Xenopus tropicalis: one gene and its partner. The protein of the gene in region 2 interacts with the protein of the main gene of each other region in a pairwise test. Links are inferred from orthologs where the notes say so. Each region holds a gene or a part of one and is shown on either strand. Other genes may lie near its edges. The genes, in order: rab2a and fam114a1.

Evidence for each region.
Region 1: the proteins of fam114a1 (region 2) and rab2a interact in binary tests that used the Homo sapiens proteins (3 or more experiments, as listed by UniProt). The two-hybrid records come from large-scale screens. The link is inferred for Xenopus tropicalis from reciprocal best matches to the Homo sapiens genes FAM114A1 and RAB2A.

What each region holds. Positions count from the first base shown.
Region 1 is NC_030682.2:116,956,114-116,959,942, reverse strand, and holds part of rab2a (ras-related protein Rab-2A), read right to left. Parts: intron 1,764-3,829; coding exon 1,692-1,763; intron 774-1,691; coding exon 706-773; intron 1-705.
Region 2 is NC_030677.2:35,822,682-35,826,510, reverse strand, and holds part of fam114a1 (protein NOXP20), read right to left. Parts: intron 3,678-3,829; coding exon 3,592-3,677; intron 2,872-3,591; coding exon 2,725-2,871; intron 1,913-2,724; coding exon 1,773-1,912; intron 1,029-1,772; coding exon 956-1,028; intron 690-955; coding exon 636-689; intron 1-635. UniProt on the Homo sapiens protein: May play a role in neuronal cell development.

The DNA of each region.
Region 1 (3,829 bases), on a different chromosome or scaffold from region 2:
CTGGTACTTTCTAACTTCTTATAGATGTGTTACGGTCTTGCCCTAAATGCTCTAGAGCAGGGGGTCCCCAAACTTTTATAAGAGTGAGCCACAACCAAATAGAAAAAGTGTTGGGGAGCAACACAAGTATGAAACAATATTCTATGAATGTCAAATAAGAGCTATGTTTGGCTGTTTGGTAGCTCCTATGTGGACTGGTAGTCTACAGAAAGCTCTGTTTGGCAGTACACAGGCAGTAATGCAACCAAAACTTGCCTCCAAGACAAAACTAAGCACCTGCTTTGAGGCCACTGGGGCAACATTGAAGGAGTTGCTCACGAGCCACTGGTAGAGGATCACTGTTCTAGAGGGTGTTTTAGGACTGAAAAGTGTCAATACTGGGGCAGCCAGACATTTCCAATTTAAGTCAATAGAGATAAGCAGGGGTTGCATTCCCTTTTAAGGGTAATTTCACTCCGCTGGCCTCTGCTCATTTGTGTCTCTGCAGTCACAAGTACTGTGTCATCCTGGGACCAGACATAGAGAGCAGGTTTGTCTGCACCCAGGCCAATGCACAAACACACAAATGATCGAAGGACAGTAGAATGGCTTATTCTTACCCGAGAATCAGCCCTATATCAACTTACAAGATCGTTGACAGAATATGTGGTACAACAAAAGAGGCAGAGGAAACAGACAATATATTGTTTTGTCTTTATTACTTACAGTGTCCCATATTTGAAGCTTTATCTGCTTGCCATCGATTGTAATCATTCTTGCACCAAATTCTACACCTACAAAATAATTATGATATGCAAAATTAAGAGATCCTGATTGTAAAGTTCATACAGTGTGTTACATTTTAAAAACAAAATAGAAGCATTAATTCACAATAGTAAGCTCTCATAATATTACTGCTTTCTACATTATATTAGGGATGCACAGAATCCACTTTTTTGGGTTCGGCCGAACCCCCAAATCCACCGTAAAGGATTTGGCCAAATACCGAACCAAATCCGAATTAGCATGCTAATTAGGCTTTGAAAGGGTTAAATGCCACGTGTGGTGAAAAATTTTCAACTTCTGTGTTTACATGACAAAAAGTCACATGATATTTAGGATTTGGATCTGCCGGAGCGTGGATTTGTCAGAATCCGAATCTTGATGAAAAAGGCCGAATCACGAACCAAAACCTGGATTAGGTGCATCTCTACAATATATACAGAAGTGAAAATTGCCTAATCAAATTTAAGTTGTAGCTAGTGAAATGTTTATTAATTATATAAAGTGCAAATAAAAATTCATTGTGTTCAAGTTTAACCACTACTATCCGAATGCTTGAAAGAACAGTAAAGTCATTGGGGGGGGGGGGGGGGGCTGAGTTGTTAAGAACCCCCTGTAATTCTAGCCAATTACTTGATACCCTAGCATTGCACTACTTTCCTCTAATATATGCACCAGTCCGTGGTACTGTCTTCATTTTTACAGGTGTCCCCTGCACCAATTTTAAGAGGGTGCATGTGCAGTGCAAAAGCTTTTAAGTATGGAAAAAAATGGTGGCACATAGCTCAGCAATCAGGCCCTTATGCTATTGTATTTTTTTAAGAAGAGGAGTATCAGCTCAAAGTACCAGGTAAGCAATAAGAATTACTGAAGGGTGTCTAACAAAAGAGCTGTTAATCAAAAGTTGACACTTTTCAGCGTAAACTTACCAATTGTAAGGTCATGCACAGGTTGAAACCTTTTATCTGTAAACTGCAATAAGAGACATGATTTTCCAACACCTGCAAAACAAGAGGAGAAAAAAAGTAAAGTGCCTAAAAATTATAAAATGAGAATACATTAAACAGTGGTTTAGGTGGTCCAGTCTAAAGGCAAGCAGAGGCGAGATTTGTGAAGAATGACCATTTGTTACCCTATATACTGCTGAAGTCATTCAGCAGCTCTCCAATTTGGCGTTTCAGCAGCTATCTGGTTGCTAGGGTCCAGGGGTGGTTTAAATGAGAGACTGGTAAATGAATAGGGGAGGGACCTGCATAAAAAATCAGTAATAAAAAGTAACAATAACAATAAAACTGGAGCCTCAGAGCATTAGGTTTTGGCTTCCAGGGTCAGTGACCCCCATTTGAAAGCTGCAAAGAATTGAAAGAAGAAGGCAAATAATTAAACTCAATTAAAAAAAAAAAAAAATGAAGGCCAATTGAAAAGTTGCTTAGAATTGGCCATTCTATAACATACTAAAAGTTAACTTAAAGGGGAACCACCCCTTTAAGACAAACAGGTTAAACTCGATGAAATTGTTTCTTTTTTTTTGTTACATTCCAAATGACCATTATGTACAGGTCCTTTTCAAAAAATTAGCATATTGTGATAAAGTTCATTATTTTCTGTAATGTACTGATAAACATTAGACTTTCATATATTTTAGATTCATTACACACAACTGAAGTAGTTCAAGCCTTTTCTTGTTTTAATATTGATGATTGTGGAATACAGCTCATGAAAACCCAAAATTCCTATCTCAAAAAATTAGCATATTTCATCCGCCCAATAAAAAAAAAGTGTTTTTAATACAAAAAAAGTCAACCTTCAAATAATTATGTTCAGTTATGCACTCAATACTTGGTCGGGAATCCTTTTGCAGAAATGACTGCTTCAATGTGGCGTGGCATGGAGGCAATCAGCCTGTGGCACTGCTCAGGTGTTATGGAGGCCCAGGATGCTTCAATAGCGGCCTTAAGCTCATACAGACTGTTGGGTCTTGTGTCTCTCAACTTTCTCTTCACAATATCCCACAGATTCTCTATGGGGTTCAGGTCAGGAGAGTTGGCAGGCCAATTGAGCACAGTAATACCATGGTCAGTAAACCATTTACCAGTGGTTTTGGCACTGTGAGCAGGTGCCAGGTCGTGCTGAAAAATGAAATCTTCATCTCCATAAAGCTTTTCAGCAGATGGAAGCATGAAGTGCTCCAAAATCTCCTGATAGCTAGCTGCATTGACCCTGCCCTTGATAAAACACAGTGGACCAACACCAGCAGCTGACATGGCACCCCAGACCATCACTGACTGTGGGTACTTGACACTGGACTTCAGGCATTTTGGCATTTCCCTCTCCCCAGTCTTCCTCCAGACTCTGGCACCTTGATTTCCGAATGACATACTTTGGACCACTGAGCAACAGTCCAGTGCTGCTTCTCTGTAGCCCAGGTCAGGCGCTTCTGCCGCTGTTTCTGGTTCAAAAGTGGCTTGACCTGGGGAATGCAGCACCTGTAGCCCATTTCCTGCACACGCCTGTACACGGTGGCTCTGGATGTTTCTACTCCAGACTCAGTCCACTGCTTCCGCAGGTCCCCCAAGGTCAGGAATCGGTCCTTCTCCACAATCTTCCTCAGGGCCCAGTCACCTCTTCTCGTTGTGCAGCATTTTCTGCCACACTTTTTCCTTCCCACAGACTTCCCACTGAGGTGCCTTGATACAGCACTCTGGGAACAGCCTATTCGTTCAGAAATTTCTTTCTGTGTCTTACCCTCTTGCTTGAGGGTGTCAATGATGGCCTTCTGGACAGCAGTCAGGTCGGCAGTCTTACCCATGATTGCGGTTTTGAGTAATGAACCAGGCTGGGAGTTTTTAAAAGCCTCAGGAATCTTTTGCAGGTTTTTAGAGTTAATTTGTTGATTCAGATGATTAGGTTAATAGCTCATTTAGAGAACCTTTTCATGATATGCTAATTTTTTGAGATAGGAATTTTGGGTTTTCATGAGCTGTATTCCACAATCATCAATATTAAAACAAGAAAAGGCTTGAACTACTTCAGTTGTGTGTAATGAATCTAAAATATATGAAAGTCT
Region 2 (3,829 bases):
TTCGGGAGTGCAAGAAACTGCCATGCAGCGAATGGCTCAAGTACTGACTGCAGTAGCACAGGATCCAACCCGCAATTAAATCTGGGCTAATTTTGGGTCCCTGCAATAGAGGAGATTTAACGCTGGCGAGTAATCTCCATGTCTGTTAAAGCCCTAAAAAGTAACACAGATCTTCTGTTGTGAGAGAGACAGAAAAGACTTTCATGCCTAGTACAGTAATAACCTAACCTAAATAATATAAGTGATCAATTATAAATATATATAATAAATATATGAATCATAAAGATAAAGAAAATATACTTTGATGCCTAGTACAGCAATAACCTAACCTAAATAATATAAGTGATTAATTATAAATATATATCATAAATATATCAGTTATAAAGATAAAGAAAAGACACTTTCATTCCTAGTACAGCAATAACCTAACCTAAAAAATATAAGTTATAAATACACAACTACTTGCATTCGCCAGCACTGTATTCATTAGGGGCATGAATAGAAGGCACATAGTTGTGCATGAGGTTGCATATTTCAGCACTTATGCTCCCACCTCTTCTGTTTTATCCCCGGTTGCACATTACATACCCCCACAGCTGTAAGGAGAAAGAACAGACATACAGTGGTACTATTACCTCAAGCTGTATACTGTTTACCAGTGGATTCAGGACTTCTGCCTTAGTCTTGCTCTGTAAAATAAGAAAAATTATTGAGGTCTTTAATGCTTATTTACTCATTTACTAAATGAGTGCAAAATATCTGTGCTATTCAGTGCTATTTCAGGTAAAACATTAAAAGGGATCCCTTTATTTACCTACTTGTCAAGATGTTATTTACAGGGTTCCACCGCAATGGAGCATGTCTGTCTAATGCACCAGACTAAGTACAGCCAGAAAACTGCCATATGGAACTAGTATAAATGAGTGCAAACCTTTGCCTTCCAGTTGATACTTACCGCAGCTGAAGTCAGAGAATCAGAAAACTTCCTTGATAAAGAGGACACTTCTTTACACATAGCAATGGTAAGCCTTAAAAACCCAAATAATAAGATGTCAAAATGCAGTCACTGCAGTGTGTTGTTATAACAGGAGTGCAATATTGTGACTTAGGGTAAAACTTACTTGGGGTCTTATACTCTTGAGATGAACTTTTTTTTTATGACTAAAATAGGCATAACGTAACATCTTAGTGGTAACAAGTTCTTAAAGTGGCAGTATACACACTTGTTCTTCAGAATAAATCAATACATAGGCTTGAAATATACATAATTTGCCTAGAAAAATCTGTGGTTTCTGTTATTTCTCAAGGGAAAACAAGGACAGAGAGACTGAAACTCTCCATGTCCTTGTGAGGTAGATAATTAGATTCCCATTATACAATTCTCTCCCTTCACCTTTTGTTGTGACTGCTTAGTTAACAGGAGGTCATTATTATGCAGGGGGATTACCATTGCGCTGGTAATCTAAATCTACCTTCCAAAAACAATTTTAAAATAGTTTAATTTGTGATTTATAAAAAAATATAGTTAGACAGCCTCCTGGCACTATATTTTACACTTCTAATTCACAATATAAATCCCTAGGCAATCCAAAAGTTAATATGCACCCTGGTTTTTCCATGCCAGAACTATTGTACTGTCTATAAGAAATGTAACCATATGAACGTTTCCAATCCTGACTTGGCTGCCTGGGTGAGACACATAAGTGGACATAAAGCATATATCAGCGCAGAGGGGGAAGGCGAATGGAAATTAGGATCCACTGAATGCTTACTTAGTTAAGACAACTGCTTGATCTTTCTCTGGCTTTTCCACTTCTTGTCCATGTAGAATTAACTCTGCTACTTTATGGAGCTGCTCAATGCAGCGGGCAGTGATTTCTGCAAGGCTTTCAATAGAACGCATGTAGAATTCCTGTACAAAAGGAATCAGAGTAATATAGTTATAACTTACCTATGTTGGTGAGGGACTTTCTGAGTTTTTTATTTAACCCACATTGTTAGCCTGTTTTCAATTTTAAAACTTCTTCACTATGTATTACATTATTGTATTTTCTATAACATGCACATTGGAAATGGACAGGAATAACTGAATGGATATGCAAAGAAGTGCGAAGTACTGGGTTAGATCAATGTTTTGTTTAACAGGAGCTAGTAAGTCAGGGATCAAGGGGTAATAAGGGCTCTCATTGCATGTTTGCATCACTCTGTTCTATATGTTAAAATATGTGATATCCTGTTTGCCAGGAACATGTTGCCTCTTTTTCTAAGAAAGCACTAAAACAGCTCCCGCTAGTACACTTAAGGTGGCCATACACGGGCTGATTTCAGCTGCCGCTATTGGTCCTTTAGACCAATGTGGCAGCTTATTTGCTTGTGTATGGGCACCCCCAACAGGCCTACCCGACCTACATCTGGCCTGAAATTGGCCAGATCTCAATCGTGCAGGTTTGATTTTTCTGTCGGTTCAGGGACCACATTAGAGGGGAAAAGCTGCCCCTCAATATTTTCCAGTTTCTTAGCTGATCTGACTGCTGCTTCCCTGTTGGATAAAATCCAGGCATAGTTGTAGTTGGAACAACCTTCTAAGCTTGTTAAAAGACTGCACAGAGAAGCACTGAGTACAATTCAACCATGAATTTACAATATAGCAGCTCATACTGTAGTGTTTAAGATTAAAAGGTGAAGAGAAAGTGTACTGATATTGAATGAACCACTGGAATTCACCTCAATGTTCTGGTTTTCTACTGTTGTTTCTTCTTTGGCCTCCTCACTTGACTCTTTTTCTTCCTCCCGCTCTGATTTAGGATGTGGTGGCTCCTCTTCTGAATGAAAGCTTTGTGAGGACAACCAGTCATGAGCTTTTTTCATAGCCTAAGTAACAGACAAATGCAGGTAAAGGAATGCATGCTTGTACAGTATATTTAGGTAAGGAAACTGGCGTGTACTGTTACATTACATTTGGCTTTATCTTGTTATAGAAATTAGATTAACCTTATGAGGAGTTTGTGGAAGATTAGTAGAAAATTGTGGAACATGTTTCTGGCTTTCAAAACTTTACTATTATTTATTGGTCATCATTTATTATTACAGAAACTAACACTCAGACCAAAGTAAGCTTGCACACATTAATATACCAATACAATGAAGTTTAGAACCTAGCTCCAATGTCCTGTTCTGCTAAATGTAGGTACAGCACACCTATACATTACACCTGCCATCAAGCATCATAAAATAAAGGGCTCCCTTAAATCCCCTAAATATTAACACTCCAAAAATTATGCTCAACTGAGGGGCATGTAAATATATATGATCTTCATCGCAGAAGAAAATGCACATTATTTACAAAACATTGCAACATTTTGCATCAAGGGCACAATTATGAGTTGGCTCGAGTTAGGCACACTGAACTTCTGGAAAAAAACAAGAGCTATTATGTCAGAACTGTGACACATAAACTCCTTATGTTGTTTGTCTATAGTTAAGTGCATTGGTTTTAGCAATTATTCAAAGGTAACCGGGAGATGGTGCTATAAATAAAAGGTTATTATTGAAATGGGGTTGAAGGGGGTGGTACTAAGGTGGAACTCATACCTTATTGAGCTTATCAGGGGTAGCTGCAACATGTAATTCAAAAAGCAGCTCAGTAAGCATGGTGGCAAATTCTCCTGTCTCTTCTTCTGTAAAGAAAAAAAAATACATAAAAGGCCACTAAGTATGTTCTTTTCAGTAAATACTTGCAGTCTTACCAAAATTAGACCTGAATTGATCCAAATATATTAGCATTACAGTGAAACTACATAGTTACAGCAATGTTGCTTTATTTACAGTA